Callithrix jacchus: one gene and its partners. The protein of the gene in region 3 purifies or fractionates together with the protein of the main gene of each other region. This does not show direct contact. Links are inferred from orthologs where the notes say so. Each region holds a gene or a part of one and is shown on either strand. Other genes may lie near its edges. The genes, in order: MAP2K3, STUB1, MAP3K5 and ARRB1.

The links.
Region 1: the proteins of MAP3K5 (region 3) and MAP2K3 purify together in Homo sapiens (co-immunoprecipitation; 4 studies listed by BioGRID and IntAct, with this or other methods). This does not show direct contact. The link is inferred for Callithrix jacchus from reciprocal best matches to the Homo sapiens genes MAP3K5 and MAP2K3.
Region 2: the proteins of MAP3K5 (region 3) and STUB1 purify together in Homo sapiens (affinity purification with western blotting; 3 studies listed by BioGRID). This does not show direct contact. The link is inferred for Callithrix jacchus from reciprocal best matches to the Homo sapiens genes MAP3K5 and STUB1.
Region 4: the proteins of MAP3K5 (region 3) and ARRB1 purify together in Homo sapiens (affinity purification with western blotting; 3 studies listed by BioGRID and IntAct, with this or other methods). This does not show direct contact. The link is inferred for Callithrix jacchus from reciprocal best matches to the Homo sapiens genes MAP3K5 and ARRB1.

Annotation. Positions count from the first base shown.
Region 1 is NC_133506.1:64,703,684-64,707,966, reverse strand, and holds the start of MAP2K3 (dual specificity mitogen-activated protein kinase kinase 3), read left to right. Parts: upstream 1-1,448; 5' UTR 1,449-1,622; coding exon 1,623-1,671; exon of another isoform or gene 1,672-3,295; intron 3,296-3,977; exon of another isoform or gene 3,978-4,178; intron 4,179-4,283. UniProt on the Homo sapiens protein: Dual specificity kinase. Is activated by cytokines and environmental stress in vivo. Catalyzes the concomitant phosphorylation of a threonine and a tyrosine residue in the MAP kinase p38.
Region 2 is NC_133513.1:2,940,144-2,944,407, forward strand, and holds STUB1 (E3 ubiquitin-protein ligase CHIP), read left to right. Parts: upstream 1-1,443; 5' UTR 1,444-1,565; coding exon 1,566-1,724; exon of another isoform or gene 1,725-1,869; intron 1,870-2,163; coding exon 2,164-2,362; intron 2,363-2,447; coding exon 2,448-2,613; intron 2,614-2,680; exon of another isoform or gene 2,681-2,808; coding exon 2,809-2,896; exon of another isoform or gene 2,897-3,060; coding exon 3,061-3,117; exon of another isoform or gene 3,118-3,191; coding exon 3,192-3,308; exon of another isoform or gene 3,309-3,368; coding exon of another isoform or gene 3,369-3,390; coding exon 3,391-3,516; 3' UTR 3,517-3,767; downstream 3,768-4,264. Other genes in the region: JMJD8 (jmjC domain-containing protein 8), read right to left, coding at 3,818-3,898, 3,976-4,110, 4,188-4,255. UniProt on the Homo sapiens protein: E3 ubiquitin-protein ligase which targets misfolded chaperone substrates towards proteasomal degradation.
Region 3 is NC_133505.1:143,588,197-143,592,420, reverse strand, and holds the start of MAP3K5 (mitogen-activated protein kinase kinase kinase 5), read left to right. Parts: upstream 1-1,409; 5' UTR 1,410-1,528; coding exon 1,529-1,621; intron 1,622-1,867; coding exon 1,868-2,543; intron 2,544-4,224. UniProt on the Homo sapiens protein: Serine/threonine kinase which acts as an essential component of the MAP kinase signal transduction pathway. Plays an important role in the cascades of cellular responses evoked by changes in the environment.
Region 4 is NC_133511.1:65,678,910-65,682,466, forward strand, and holds part of ARRB1 (beta-arrestin-1), read left to right. Parts: intron 1-338; coding exon 339-411; intron 412-3,002; coding exon 3,003-3,140; intron 3,141-3,557. UniProt on the Homo sapiens protein: Functions in regulating agonist-mediated G-protein coupled receptor (GPCR) signaling by mediating both receptor desensitization and resensitization processes.

The DNA of each region.
Region 1 (4,283 bases), on a different chromosome or scaffold from region 3:
CCCATGGGATAGATAAACTGAGGGACAGAGCTTCTCAGTGACTTCTCCAAGGTCACCCAGCTAGTAAGTGGGGGAGCTGGTGTTGGAGTTTGTACGGGTCTGAGCCCCAGGCTCATGATTTCCACCCCATGACCTGGGAAGGGTAAACAGGAGATGCAGGAAGAGAAAGGTGATGACTCCAAGGCTTCCCTCTTATCTCACGTGGCCCTCCCCGCCGCTGTGTGCACGGGGCCTGCATCACCCCCACTTTACACCTGGGCAAGCAGAGGTCAGCCCTGGCCTCAAGCGTTCTGGCAGGTGGTGGAATCTGCTTCCCTCACGTGAGGTCCCTGACAGGGTACACACTCATGTCTGCCTGGAGGCCAGGGGCTGACCCATTGCCCTTTGCCTGGCACATTCTGCCCTCACTAGCCCTGGATTTACATCCAGAGTCACCTGATCCCAGCACCAGATTGGTCAGCGGTTCCTGAAATTCCCCCAGGTTCTGTGTGGGAGCAGAGGGAGGACTGGCCCATCCACCCATTATGCAGATGAGCAGACTGAGGTCTTAGCAGGAGTGGAGAGAACCAAGGCCCAGGAGAGAGCCGGGATGGGGCCTGGGGCTCGCGGGATAAAATGCACCGCATGCCACCTCACTCCTTCTGAGACACAGTTTCCCCCTGTGTAGAACAGGGGCAACAGTAACCAGCCACGAAAGCTCCTCGTGCTGCCTTGTCACCGGGCATCGCTGAGCTCACCACCGACTCCACGCCCTGGACTGGCGCCTGGTGCCCGGGCTCAAGTGAACGTTTGTTGGCGCGGGGCTCTCCGTGCGTGTTAGCGAGCAGCGCCGGGAGGTGGCTGTCACCGCCGCCCGCTCACAGAGGCTTAGACTGAGGCTCAGGTGTCACGACCTGCCCGAGGCCAGTCCCGCTGCAAAGTTGCCGACTCGTATCTGAAACCCGGTCTCAACCCAGCAGCTTGCTTTTAACCCCCGGCCTCCTCGCCAGGCCCAGCCGCACCACCTTTGGGGATCTCGGGGTTTTTCCAGACCAAGCACCCAGGAGAACGCGCCCTCGCAGCGCACCCGCCGGGGCTGCGGGTCTGGAGGTGCTGGGCGGGGTCTGGGGGTGCTGGGGGGGGTCTGGCGCCAGCAGGGAGTTGCGGGCTCAGTGGGTCCCGGGAGTGGGCGGGGCTTGCGTGTTGACGGGCAGCGCGAGGGGCGAGGCTTTAGATCAGGAGGGCGGAGTCTGGCCGGGCCTTGTTTTTTCGGGCGGCGGGCGGACTTGACAGAGAGCGAGAGGGACCAGGATCTTGGGCCCACGGGGTGGTTGGGCGTATGTTTGATAGGCAGGGACAGCCGGCGTCTGATAGGCGGGGTACAGGCCTTGGAAACGGGAGGGCCAATCGGCACGCAGGGGTGGGGCCTAAGTTAGCGCTGTTCGGCCGGGGTACACCGGGCGCTGCCCAGTCTGGCTCTGGCGCCGCCAGTTGCGGACGCGTCCCGCTGCAGTCGCTGCCGCGTGCCTCTGCTCCTCCGCCTGACCCGGGCTATCTGCCCGCAGCCATGAGCGTGCTCGGCCCCGGTGGAGCCCGCTGTCCTCTAGATTAGTCCCCGCCGCCGTCCCGGACCGGTCTGCAGCATGGAGTCGCCAGCCTCGAGCCAGCCCGCCAGCATGCCCCAGTCCAAAGGTAGGCGCTCCCCGCCGGAACCTTGTCCTGACCCCGGGCCCAGTCTGGGGTCGGGCTGCAAACTCTGACCGTTCTGTGGTCCCACCCTATCCTGTCCTTGACCTAGCAGCGGCGCCCTGTCCCGGAACCCCTTCCTGTTTGGGTTCCCAGGACCGGCCCCAGCCTGGGACCTCACCTGGATCCCCAGGTTAGGCCTTGGGACTGCACTCAGGCTCGAGATCACCCAGGCTGAACCCAGGCGAGGACTTTGTTCCCACCCATCCAAGTCAGGAGCCCCACTCTGACCTCATTTGGGCCTTATGGCTGCAGCCTAGACAGGAACTCTCCCAATCTTCTCCGTCAGCGGGACCCGGGTGAGATTCACACTGGCCCCCACCTGGATCCTTGGTCAGCACCCAGTCCCACGTCCAGTTTCGGGACCCAGGGCTGTATCTAGGCTGGGATATCGCTTGCGTCTCCATCTGGGCCCCAGAGTGCTCCTGTTGTTGCGGGCCTCACTGTAGCCCCTATGTGGGTGCTCTGGCTATACCCCAGCTCAGAACCGCCTGACCTCCTCTCCCCCAACTCTCCCTCTCCTTTAGGCCCTATGTTACCCCTTCCCTGGCTGACCTCCACCCCGTCCTGCAGTCCTGTGTCCCCAGGAACCTCCCTTGTCCTCTCACCCCTCCGTAAGGTGCAGCCCCCTCTGTACCGACTCCTCTCTGAGTTGCAAGCTTCTCCCTGCACTTGGGGCGCTCACCCCATCTGGTTCCCGTCCCAGCTGCCTGGGATCTGGGCCAGCCGCCAGGCCAGGGTGCTGGCTGTGCAAGGGATTTGCTCTTCTCCAAGTAGCTGGCTTTCCTGGAAATTTTTGTGAGGTGGCGGCAGCAGGATTTGTCATGCGGAGGGGGGAAGGACGAGACTTGGAGGGCAGAAGGGGAATTTTTTTTTTTCAGGAAGAGGAGAGGATGTTTTTGGTGCGTCGGAGTTTCAGCAGGCTGTGTTGTGAGAGATTTCCAAACCGGACATAGCTGTAATGAATGGGCTGCCTCACCCCAGCAAGCTCCCTGGTGTCTCTGGGTCTCAGTTTTCTTTTCTGTAAATTGGAAGTCATCACACCTGCTTCTGTGGACGCGGGAGTGGGGTGTGGGGTGGTGAATGCTAATGAGCTCTGAGGCGTTCTTTCACTCAAAGAGAGCCTGGCGAGGGCCAGTGCTCACCAGGGGACACCGGCTGCATGCATCCCGCTGTTGCTTTCATTCTTGCTGGAAAGGCCCCCGCTGCTGGGACTCCACTGCAGAGTGAGCAGGAGGCAGGTAGCAGCGGGCACCCCCTCATCAGGGGTCAACCACTCTCCTGCCCTGGAGGGTGCATGCCAGTGGAAGCCCTATGGGGGTCTGGGGAGGGCATGGGCTCTTCCTGGCCCCTGCTGCTGGCTGCTGTGGTGGCTGGAGCCGGGTGGGCAGAATAATTATGCCTTACATAAGTGGGAGGCTGGATCCCTGACAACTGCCCAACCACTGTGAGTAACTCAGGAGGCACTCGCCGGGGGAGGCATCTGAAGAGGGACTTCACTGCACAGACCTCGTGGAGCTTGGGAACCGGGAAATCAGACACTTCTCCACTCTGGAGAGCTCGGGGAGGGGTAAGAAGCACTGTTTGTTTTGGAGGCTTTTTTAGCTCTCCAGGCAGGGAATGCCTCAGCAAAATAAAAGCTCCAGTTGCAGAGTTGTGCAGGGAGAGGGGTCACAGAGGTGGTGGGAGCGCTGTGAGAAGGCCAGGATGAACTTCTAGATGTGAACCCAGGTCCCAGATGAGGTTGGGTGGGCTGAATGGAGGGTCAGGGACCTCCCTCAGGCCCAGGCACTCTATAGCCTCTTCGGGGTCTGGAGAAGTATGTGGTGGCAGAGCCACAGTGCCCCTCACCAAAATCCCTGTGAGCTCCTTCTTTTTTTCCATGTGCCATGCATTTCCTCATTCATTCCTCACAGCCCCATTTACAGATAAGGAAACTGAGGCCCAGAGGCATTAAGTGCCTTGCCTGAGGCCACACAGAGGTGACAGGTGTACTAGGGTTCCCCCAGGACTGTGTGTCTCCACAGAGGTCTTCCCAGTGACCCCCTGTGTGCCGCTCCCATGCTAGATGCCTGAGCTGAGTGGGTGGGACACCCTCACCCCTGGCCTTGCTCACAGCCTGTGCAGTGGGCCTATCCTCATGGCCATGTCAGACCTCCAGGACAGACTGAAGCAGAGGTGCTGCCTTTCCTGTGCACAGCGCTTCACGCTGGGCCTGAGGCATATTCACTGCAATCTGACCCATTTGACAGATGCAGAACTGAGCTTGGAGGGAGGATGGCCGGCCTGCCCCAATAGGTGGAGATCCTCGCCCCATGCCCGCCCCATCCTGGGCACTGGGCCTCCCAGCACAGAGCCTTCTCCACCTTCTCAAAGGAATTTGAACACGGCAGGGAGTGGCTGGCGCTTGACCTTACTGGAGCTTTACCTTTGAGCTTCCTGCCATGCAGCAGGTACCCGGCCCCGTCCTCCGTCCTCCGTGCCATCGGCCTGGGGAGTTTTCTGTGTGTGTGCAGCCCTCAGGCCCGGAGCTCTGCTGGTCTTCCCCTGGCCTCCTT
Region 2 (4,264 bases), on a different chromosome or scaffold from region 3:
AGGACAAGCTCTGGGAGACCCTGCTCCTGCTCCCAGGAACATGCAAGGGCCCAGACTGCCGGCTTCACAGACAAGGATGCCTGTGCACCCAGGTCGTGCACACCCGACTCACCTGTGGTGGGCCCACACCGCGGAGGGCACACAACTTTATGACTGCGGCCCCCGACTCTGGCAGGAGTCAGAAGGCGGAGGTCAAGCGGTGCACAACCAGCTCAGGGGATTGGTGGCCACAGGCTGCTGAAGACATGGCCAAAAGCGGCCTCTCTGTGGGAGGCCAGGTCAGGATGCCTGGAGTGGTGGACCCTCCAGGAACCCCGCCCCACGACAAAGCCCCGCCCCCACGAAGACACGCCCCTAGGAGGCCCCGCCCACGAGGAAGCACCGCCCCACCGACGCCACTCCCTGAAGACCCGCCCTACGGAGGCCCCGCACACGAGGAGGCGGGGCCGCACCCCACCGGCAGCCTCTAGACTAACAGCCGTTCCAGCTCCCTTCGCGTCACGTGCTTCTCCGCTCGGCCCTTGATGGCCGCCAGCAACTCCTCCCGTTACCTGGAAAAGGGGGTGAGGGGAGGTCCGGCCACGGGGACACTCGCCCCACGGATCCCTTTATCTCTTACCAGTCTACCAACGGTCCACGGCTTCCAGCCGCTCTCGGGGGCCCGCGCGCGCTCGTAGCACCTTTCGGTGGCATTCCAGGATGGCAGCCCAGCAAGCCGCTGGGGTCCCCACAGCCCCAGAGCGCGTGGGAGGCCGCCATGTTACGTGGAGGGGAGGGGTCGGCTCTCAGGGGCGGAGCCTCTGCGGAAGGGGCCGGCTGCTGGGGGCGGGACCTCTGCAAACGGAGTCGACCCCCCCCCGAGGGCGGGGCCGGCTGCCAGGGGCGGAACCTCTGCAGACGGGGCTGACTGATGGGGGCGTGGCCGGGTGCTGGGGGCGGGGCCTCCGCCGATGGGGGTGGCTGCGGGGGCGGGGCCTCTGCCGATGGGCCAGGTGCTGGGAGTGGGGGCGGGTGCCGGGGGCGGGACCGCCGCAGATGCGGCCTGTTGTTGGGGGCGGGGCGGGCTGCTGGGGGCGGGACCTCTGCAGATGGGGTCTTTACGGGTTGGGGCAGGGGCGGAATCCCACGTGGGCGGGACAGGCTTTTAGGGAAGCACGCCCTCAGCGAACCAAGGCTGAGGCACCTCACGGAGAAAACCGGATATATGGGACGGCCGCCACCGAGGCCAGTTCTGGAGAGGCCTCGGCGGGGCGGGGCGGGGCTGGCCTCCGCGAATGCCGACCCTGAAAAACGCGGGGCCAGGGAACCGGAGCGTTCCTCGCAGCCAGCTACGTCGCGGGCCGACTGTCCCCGCCCAGGCTGGTTGGGCGCACGCGCGGCCCTACCCGCCCCCCGACGCCTGCGTCCCCGCCGATCCCGCCCCCGGCCGGAAGTTCCGGCGGCGGAGCTGGGCCGGGCCCGAGCTGATCGTGGGCTCGGGCTGCAGGGCTCGGGCTCGGGCTTCGGGTGCAGGGCCGTCAGGCGCGGAGCTTGGGAGCGCAGCCCAGGCCGTGCCGCTCGGCGCCATGAAGGGCAAGGAGGAGAAGGAGGGCGGCGCGCGGCTGGGCGCTGGCGGCGGAAGCCCGGAGAAGAGCCCGAGCGCGCAGGAGCTCAAGGAACAGGGCAACCGTCTGTTTGTGGGCCGAAAGTACCCGGAGGCGGCGGCCTGCTACGGCCGCGCGATCGTGAGTGCGCCCGCGTGGGGAAGGCGGCGACGGCGAGTCGGAGGGCCACGCCCGCGATCGGCCGGCCCCGCCGAGGGTCTGGCTCCTCCGCGGCGGGTATCCTGGGCTCCGAAAGCCCAGCATTGGTTCTCGATCCCAGCGCCAGGTGCCGGGGAACGAGGGTGGGATGCTAGATGGAGGCCGGCCGGGTGGGTGGGAGGCCAGGGTCCAAAGCTGGGACTCTCCAAAGATTTGGAAAACTCTACAGAACCAACCGGAGTGAGGTGTGTAGGCTCAGCCAGTAGTCCCGTGTCTGCAGATCCTTGGACCCAGAGGCTTTGGCTACTGAGAGGTCTAGGTTCTTGATCGTAGCCAGATCGCAGAAGCTGGGACGGGCCCTGGGACAGAGGGGGCGCGCTGAGCCTACGCCTGATGCGGCTGGCCCGGCCTTGGTCCCTAGACCCGGAACCCGCTGGTGGCCGTGTATTATACCAACCGGGCCCTGTGCTACCTGAAGATGCAGCAGCATGAGCAGGCCCTGGCCGACTGCCGGCGCGCCCTGGAGCTGGACGGGCAGTCTGTGAAGGCGCACTTCTTCTTGGGGCAGTGCCAGCTGGAGATGGAGAGCTATGATGAGGCCATCGCCAATTTGCAGCGAGGTTGGCCGACAAGCTGCCTGGGTGCGGGGCCCCTGGGACCAGGCGGTTGGACTGGCCAGCGTGACCGGAAGCCCTTGTTCCCCAGCCTACAGCCTGGCCAAGGAGCAGCGACTGAACTTTGGGGACGACATCCCCAGCGCTCTGCGAATCGCGAAGAAGAAGCGCTGGAACAGCATCGAGGAGCGGCGCATCCACCAGGAGAGTGAGCTGCACTCCTACCTTTCGAGGCTCATTGCGGCGGAGCGTGAGAGGTGGGACCCTTACCCCAGGCCGCGCTGTCTGGGGATAATTCTGAATAACCAACCGCCAACACGAATGTTTACTGAAAGTTTTACTGGCGAGCAGTGCATGTGGGGAAGAAGCCTGGATGTTAGCCCTGAGTCTGGGGTGTGGTCAGACATCTTCTGGCCAGGTCCGTCTCTGACGGGCTCCTGGTCATCCCCCAGGGAGCTGAAAGAGTGCCAGCAGAACCACGAGGGTGACGAGGACGACAGTCACGTCCGGGCCCAGCAGGCCTGCATTGAGGCCAAGCACGTGAGGGTGCCCCCATCCACATGTGGGTCTGTGTGTGTGCACACGTGGCACGGGAGCGTCCCCACCCTGCTGTGGGTCTGTGTGTCCCTGCCTCGTGTTGGGTCTGGGTACCACGGAGGAGGGAAGTGGGGTGTCCCTCCCAAGCACTGCTCAACTTTCCACAGGACAGATACATGGCGGACATGGATGAGCTCTTCTCTCAGGTGGATGAGAAGAGGAAGGTGAGTGCTGCTGTGGGTGGTAGGTCCTGGAGCAGCCCCTTCCCAGCCTCTGACCCTGTGCCCATGTGCCACAGAAGCGCGACATCCCTGACTACCTGTGTGGCAAGATCAGCTTTGAGCTGATGCGGGAGCCGTGCATCACACCCAGTGGCATCACTTACGACCGCAAGGACATCGAGGAGCACCTGCAGGTGAGGCTGGGGCCAGGGGGTGGGCAGGGCCAGCAGCAGGGTCCTAGGCTTGCTGAGCAGCCTCTGCCTCTTGTCACTGCAGCGTGTAGGCCATTTTGACCCTGTGACCCGGAGCCCCCTGACGCAGGAACAGCTCATTCCCAACCTGGCTATGAAGGAGGTCATTGATGCATTCATCTCTGAGAACGGCTGGGTGGAGGACTACTGAGCTCCTCGCCCTGCCCAGTGTCCTGGCCCCGGAGGGCCACGGGCAGAAGCCCCCAGCCCCTGTACATAGCTTGTGTCCCTGGCCACCCTTTCCCTTCCCCCCAGTTCTGCTGTTGGGCTCTGGACGGCTCCCCTCTCAGCATAGCTCTTGCTGGGCTGTGATCCTCCCCGTCCCCCATTCTGGGCTGGAAAAGCAGGTGAGGGTGGGCTGGGCTGCGGCCACCGTCTGTGTAATAAAATCCGTGAGCACAAGCTGGGGAAGAAGTGCTCTGTGTGACAGGAGTGCCTGCCGGCTGCCACGGCTAGCCAAGGAAGGTAGAGATGAAGACGCTGGTGTCAAGGTTGAGTGTGGCGTGCCACCAGCGGTCGGGGAAGTACAGCACCTGGTGAAGGAAGGGGGTGCAGCCGAGATCAGCTGCGGGCCTCTGACCTGGCCCGGTCCCTCCTGCCAGCCACTGACCTCACCAGCCTGGATGGTACACTCCAGGGGCCGTGCAGACGGCGGCAGGGCTGGGTATGTGTCCCGGAGCCAGGCCAGCGTGGTCTTGTTGGGGTGGAACTCTGGCGTCTTCTCAGGTGGGTAGAGGAACCAGCGCTGTGGGCAGGGGCAGCAGCGTCACCCTTGCCCACTTGGGTCATCCACCCAAGCCCCGACACCCACCCTGGGCTGACCTTACGGCCGTAGATCACCTCCGAGTACCCAGGCCCGTGCCAGTGGAAGGGCACCCCCGAGCCGGCTCCTGTGGGGT
Region 3 (4,224 bases):
CAGCCAGAAGCAGCATTTCAGCATTGTATTGGGGTTTGGGTTCCTAACATCAGAAACATATCTAAAGTTAATACATTAAAAAAAAAAAAAAAAAAAAAGCCAGCAAAGTCAGTGGCTCATGCCTGTAATCCCAGCACTTTGGGAGGTCAAGGTGGGTGGATCATGAGGTTAGGAGTTTGAGATCAGCCTGGCCAACATGATGAAACCCCATTTCTGCTAAAGATACAAAAAATTAACTAGGCATGGTGGTGGACGCCTGAAATCCCAGCTACTCAGGAGGCTGAGGCAGGAGAATCGCTTGAACCCAGGAGGCGGGGGTTGTAGTGAGCCGAGATTGCGCCATTGCACTCCAGCCTGGGTAACAAGAGTGAAACTCTGTCTCAAAAAAAAAAAAAAAAAAAGCAAAACTCCGACTTAAAAAAACAAAAAACAAGTACAAAACCAAAACCAAAACAAAATCCACAAAAAACTGTCATTCACACTTTCTTCTCCCTTTTTCACAGGACTCATTAGTCTCAGTTCCTGGAGACTGGAAGTACAAAACCTGTTTCTCAATTGTAACTTGCGCTGGCTTTCTTAACAATTATAGCATTCTGGGGTTCTCTGAGAACTTACAAATCTATTCTTTCCTCCCCAGATAAGTAGGTACTTTTTGATCGCTCTTAAACAATCTGGGTACTCCCCTCCCTGCCCAGCTTGGTGCAGTTTAAAAATAGAATAAGTCACGTAATTCCCCTGTTTCATCTTGCTGATAATCTGTGGAGTTGGGTATAGACTCCGTCTTCTATCTATCTTAAGTATCTGGCACTTGAAGGGGAATTAAGATCCTACATGAGAATGCTAAACCCTTCAGCAGTTGGCACTAATCAATTACCTACCCATTACTGATAACGGCAGGAGCCACTGGAAATTTTAAAAAAGGAAAAGTACATGGGACGACCTGATCAACTTAGCCTGCCACTTCTGGAGTGCCACAGCCACTAATGAACAACCCTCCAGTGTAGGCCCTGGCTCTAGGGCGCTATTTGCCACCTCCTGCCTCGCGCAACGTGGGCCTCCCCGAGCCTGTCCTGCCAGCGCCGCGCACGGTCCCAGTCCACGACGCCGCCAAGGGCCGGAGGGGGGCGCCCTCGCCGCGGGGAACACTGGAAATGCCTCGGGGGCGGACTCCGAGGACCGAGTATTGGCTGGAGAGACTTTTGCGCCACCCAGTAATCGCTTGCGCTCCAAGTCTTCTTAGGTGGGGGCCGGGTGGGTGAGGACGGGGACGCTACGCCACGCGGGGCACTCAGAGAAGGGCTGGGGTCCGGGGGCCGCGGCGCGGTCGGTTCCGTCCGGGCTCGAGCTTCCTAGCAACTCGCTCACCGGGGGCGGGCCCTGACTCTCGGGGCCGCGTCGAGTGGGTGGCCAGAAGCTGGTGGAGGAGAGGGCGAGCGGCTGCGAGAAGCCACAAGACTGGCGCGGGGACGACGCGGCGGAGGCGATCCGAAGAGAAGCAAGGCAGGGCGAGGAGGAGGAAATCCAGCCGATGAAGGGGAGCTGCCGCCGAGGAGGGAGGCGGGTCCCTTCGGCTGCTGCTGCTGTTCCGGGACGCCGCCGTGGGAGCCCGCCCGCCCGTAAGGTGCGCACCAGGTAGCTCCGCACCCAGGGGGCGCCCTTCCTGGCCCCTCCCAGAGCGGCCGGGACGGAAGGAGCTGCGCGGCGCTGCGCGGCGGGTGGCGAGGGCGGGCTGCACCCCGAGCGCGGCGCCCTTGAGCTGCACCGCGGCGCAGGTTTGCGAGCCGACTTGTCAGCCGGCCAAGAAAAGGAAGCTCCGTCCCTTCCCGCTCACCCGGCTTCCCCACCCCTTGTACTCTAAACCCTGCAGCCGGCGAGCGGCGCGGCCACGGAGGCGCCGAGGAGGAGCGAGCCGCCGCCGGGCAGCGGCGTGCCCTCGGGGGAGAGGGCGCCGGAGAGGAGGCGGCGGCGCGGCGGCGAGGGCGCGGCGCGCGATGGCAGCTGCTTAGCCCGGCGGGCGCGGAGCAGCCCAGAGCTGTGGCTGGCCAGGCGGTGCGGCTGGGCAGGGGACGCCGCCGCCGCTGCATCCCGGTCAGGAGAGATGAGCACGGAGGCGGGCGAGGGCATCACTTTCTCCGTGCCACCCTTCGCCCCCTCGGGGTTCTGCACCATCCCCGAGGGCGGCATCTGCAGGAGGGGAGGAGCGGCGGCGGTAGGCGAGAGCGAGGAGCACCAGCTGCCACCGCCGCCGGGCAGCTTCTGGAACGTGGAGAGCGCCGCTGCCCCTGGCATAGGGTGTCCCGCGGCCTCCTCCGCGAGCAGTGCCACCCGGTGCCGGGGCAGCTCTGGTGGTGGAGGCAGCCGACGGACCACGGTGGCATATGTGATCAACGAAGCGAGCCAGGGGCAACTGGTGGTGGCCGAGAGCGAGGCCCTGCAGAGCCTGCGGGAGGCGTGCGAGGCAGTTGGCGCCACCTTGGAGACCCTGCATTTTGGGAAACTCGACTTTGGAGAAACCACGGTTCTGGACCGCTTTTACAATGCAGGTGCGTGTGTGACCCCTTTTCCATCCCGCGCGGTCGGGACCCATGTTTAACCTGTCGGTCTTTGGGGCATTTTATTTTTCTGGCCGGGAAGCATTTATTTCTTGCCCCACTTTGGGGACAGCGACCGCCACTGCGTGACTGCTCCTGTCACTCGCCCCTCCGGGGAGAGCGTGTGTGCTTGTGTAAGAGTCTGTGTGTATTTGTGCGACAGACCCATGGATCCACCCACCGCCCAGAGCCGGAGCCCTGGGTCCTTGAGATAAACCTGAAGAACTGTCTTCCAGCAGTGGGAGATGTTTGCCCCAGTCATTCCTTCTCCATTCAGGATCTCGGTTTCACTTCTGTTAGGTTGGATCGCTGTTTTCCTTCTGCAGATACCTGTGACGGCTTTACATGAGGTTCTCTTTTTCTCTGTGTAATTTTGAGAGTACAGGAACGATGACATGCCACACAGCCAGCTGCACGCAGAGTGTAACTATATTAATTTACATGCCATGTTGCGATCTTCCCAACTCATCTTACCTTCAATAAGTTTTAGTCGCTTGAATTTCTCATATCTCACTAACCCGGACTTCCAAGTAATTACAGTGCTTCCAAAGGTAATAACATCACAACTTACACTGAACTTGTGTGGTATCTTTGTAAGGATTTTGGTAAGAGAACCAGGGTCTTTTTTTTTTTTTTTATTGCCCCATACATGGTGGGCTAGAAAGTTTATTATTTAACATTGTCTAAAACAACCATATGCTATCCTAATAACAACATTAGTTTGGCCATTAAAGTGATTACTAGCATAATCCATGAAAGAAATGTATCTTTTCAACCTATCTCAGATTTCAGAAAATGTTAAGGCAGTTCTAGTAACTGAAGCAATTAGCTGCCTGTTAACAAATGTTAGGACTAATACCATGTTATGGAAATTAACCTTTAGCCCCCTGTATATCCTGTGTTGAGAATATATACATGTTTATGTTTAATTTGTGGGTAAAAACCTGGTTCATTGGTTTCAAAACAATACACTTCTTGCATTTGTGATCACATAAAAAGCTTTATTTTCCATTTTTGTTTTCAGTTCTGATTCTCTTCAGCCCCTTCCAAGCACCTGAAGTAGGCTTATGTCAGTCTTGGAATTCAGCCAAAGCTGAATATTTTAAGAACAACAAGAACTTCATGTTAAAGAAGCCAGACTAAATAAACTAGGACTTTCTGGTTCTGGTATTTTAAAAATAGTTTTGGTCTTCGTAACTAAGCATGGATATAATATATTATAGCTTGATTCTTTGGGTAGCTTGCTATAAAAGTTACATCAACATAACTTTTCTAAAAATTATGGCACTCTTATTTTTGGATTATAATTTGGAAGAAGCTTCAAAGAACTAAGATATGAGAGGAAAATACCCAACTGAACACTTGAGCCTATTTTTATTGCACTGATTGGGTGTTTTTTTCTAGGACTCCAGAAAAAAAATCTTAAACTCTAAGTTAATTTGAAAGAAAGTTTCCTAACAATGCTTTCTTTCTGTTACTCTCCAAACACTGCCTCTGGGAAAGGGAGTGAGAATGATTACAAGGAAACTGACAGTTTGAGTGTATTTCATTGAATCCTCCAAACAAGCCTGTGAAGGAAGTACTTACCTTCTTAGGTGGGAAAACCCAGAGAGCCCTAACTGGCCCTGGGATT
Region 4 (3,557 bases), on a different chromosome or scaffold from region 3:
AGGGCCTGCCCTGAGCCACAGGGCCCCACTTTTGAGGCGAGTCAGGGAGGCTGTTTATTGGCCAGGTAATGAGTTCATTCTTTAAGCCACCTCTTCTCTTCAGTTTCTTGGGTTCTGGGCAAAGCTGTACTTGAGGAGAAGGCTTTGGTTATGGAAGGAAATTTGTGTGTTTTGGGGCTACCCTTTGGATGGAAGACAGAGGTAGTCTCAGGCAGAAGTCCCTACTGGTGGCCTGTGGCCATTGCCTGGGGCTGAATATCCCCAACCCCAGGAAGCCTGAGAGACTCCATGGGAGCTGCATTCCAGACTCGCTCAACCTCATTCCTCTCCCTCCCCAGTGCGCCAGTATGCAGACATCTGCCTTTTCAACACAGCTCAGTACAAGTGCCCTGTTGCCATGGAAGAGGCTGAGTAAGTGAGCACACATCTGGCCTTGGGCATGTGGGATTGGGCGGGAAAAAGCTCTAGGTATCCTGTTACAGGTCCAGGTGTCTCTTCTTCACCTGGCAGAGGGCTGGGCCTCAGAATTCCTTGCCACTCAGAGTAGATGATCCCAAAGAGCCTTTTAGAAACCATCTACCTGATTTAGCTACAAGAAAATGCAAGGTACAATCAAGGAAGAGACCCACTAAAACTAGAATGACAAAACAAGAGCTAATGAATGTAAGGGGATTGGGATTGGGGAAAGAAAATAATTACATTGTACAAGAAACCTAGGTTGAAGGGAAATACTTTGTTCTGAGCTTCCTGGTAGCCAGGGCAAAGTAGGTAAGGCACTAGGTGCACAGTCTAATAAAGGGTAATCCAGCTCACTGGGTAAAGGGGTTGTGTGTGGGAGTGTAGAGACTAATTATACACAGACATTAAAAAAAAAAATCTAGGTTTGAGGAGAACTACTATGGTTGAGTGTGGACTGAATTTTGTCCCAAGCTTGTTGGCAGTTAAGGCAAGAGGAGAGATCTCAAGTGAAACATCTTTACTTACCTAAAGGAAATAAATGCTCCCATTTAAAGACACACACAGTCTTTTTCCTGGCCCTACAAGTAATTTCTTGGGGCAATTACACCTGATGTAATTTTACTGTGTATGTGTATTTGTTTATATATAATTCCAATCAGTATTTTTTGCAACTTCAAACATTTAAAAAATTACTAGATGGCCTTGGAGACAGTTTTTAATGTCCTGTAGGTGAACATGCTATGTTGAGATCAAGCATTCTCTGGTTACTGGATATTTTTGATATTCACTGTTGTTCTTTTTTATTTTTATTTATTTACTTATTTATATTTTGAGACAGAGTCTCACTCTGTCACCAGGTGCCAGGCTGGAGTGCAGTGGTGGGACCTTGGCTCACTGCAACCTCCGCCTCCTGGGTTCAAGCAATTCTCCTGCCTCAGCCTCCTGAGTAGCTGGGACTACTGGCGCACGCCACCATGCCCAGCTAATTTCTTTTGTATCTTTAGTAGAAACGGGGTTTCACCATGTTGACCAGGATGGTCTCAATCTCTTGACCTCGTGATCTGCCCACCTCGGCCTCCCGGAGTGCTGGGATTACAGGTGTGAGCTACCACGCCCAGCCTCTTGTTCTTTTTTTAAAAAAATCAGAGCCATGAAGCATAGATTCCAGATGGTAAAGTGAAGTGATCTAGAACAGAGTAACATATAATCCCTGAAGGGTAGAACATCCCACCCCCGCAGATGGTGCCAGGGTCTGCGTAACAGATCCCAGCAGGGGTGGCTGGGTAGGCCTTTGCACTCATAGGCTTGTTTACTTCTCAGGAAGCCCATGGGGCTGGGGTTGCTGCTGCCCCAGTGTGTTGAGGAGGAAGTGGCTAGAGAGATGTGACTTGTAAGCTAGCAAGCAGCGAAGCTGGGGCTGGTGCACAGGTTGTCTGACTCCACGGCTTGCTCGCTATCTGCTGCATGTCAGCTCTCTCTTTGGAAAGGATGGGGGATAGAGCAAAAGCAAGCAAAAACTGGACAATCAAAACACACTATACATGATGGATGCGATAAAGCAAGTGGAGTTTTAATTGTTGAGCCTAGATGGTGGGTATGTGGGTGCCCAAATAGTTTCATTTATGGTTTATGTGTCGCTATAATTTTTTTTTAAATTTGTTTACAGACAGGGCCAGGTGCAATGGCTCACACCTGTAATCCCAGCACTTTGGGAGGCTGAGGTGGGCAGATTACTTGAGGTCAAGAGTTTGAGACCATCCTGGTCAAGATGGTAAAACCCCATCTCTACTAAAAATAAAAAAAATAGCTGGGCGTTGTGGTGCGCGCCTGTAATCCCAGCTACTTGGGAGGCTGAGGTAGGAGAATCTCTTGAACCCAGGAAGTAGAGGTTGCAGTGAGCCAAGATCGCACCACTGTACTTCAGCCTGGATCACAGAGCAAGACTGCCTCAAAAAATAAAATAAAATTTGTTTAGAGATAGAGTTTTGCTCTGTTGCCCAGGCTGGAGTACAGTGGTGCGATCTTGGCTCACTACAGCCAGCCTCGAACTCTTGGGCTCAAGTGATCCTTCTGCCTCAGCCTCTCAAGTAGGTGTGCACCACCATACCAGGCTAATGTTTAACATGTTTTGTAGAGATGGAGACTTGCTCTGTTGCCCGGGCTGGTCTCAAACTTCTGGCCTCAAGTGATCCTCCTGTCAGCCTCTCAAATTGCTGGGATTATAGGTGTGAGCAACTGTGCCTGCTGTGGCTGTCATTTTTTAACTAAATGTGCTTTTTAGCACTGTGCTGCTTGACTATGATAATCTCTTAGAATATCCCAGATCCAGTCCTGTTTGTGCATAGAATGTGGATGTGCCTTTTTTGAGTCGCAGTGGTCTCCGGAGCTGGGCTGGCCCAAGTGGTCCCTGTATCTGTGGGGGATAGAAGTCAGGAGAGGGAGGCTTGGAGCAGGGCCAGACTAGACATTCTGCTGGGCTGGAGAGCAGGGCTGGGGTTGGCTCTGGGGAGGGCCAACTCCACAGCTGCTTCCTTTCTTCCCAGCGACACTGTGGCACCCAGCTCAACGTTCTGCAAGGTCTACACACTGACCCCCTTCCTGGCCAACAACCGTGAGAAGCGGGGCCTTGCCCTGGATGGGAAGCTCAAGCATGAAGACACGAACTTGGCCTCTAGCACCCTGTGAGGACCTGCCCGCCTAGCCCTGGGCTCCTGGTGCACGTTGCTTTTCACCCTCCTTGGTCCCTCCAGTTCAAAGACAAGGCTCAGGCTACCCTCTCCCCAGCCTTGTCCAGGGCCTGTCCTCAGGTGCTTGACTTATCAGGGAAGCTACCTCCTTACTCCCATCCCTATCCAGGGGTGACCGAGGGACTAAGATGGACCAGTAGGCCAGCTCACTCAGGCAGTACTGGGCTCTGTTACCAAGTCCGGGGAAGGGCAACCTGGGAAGGCTTCCTGCAAGAGGTGGCAGCTTCTGACCCAATGCCTTCAGTCAGATGGGGTATCCCTGAGGAAAGACCAGGGTGGTGAGCTGAGTTAGACCCAACATGGGGTGCCCCTCCAAGTCAGTGGCCCCAGGGCCTCTGGTCACTCCTGCTG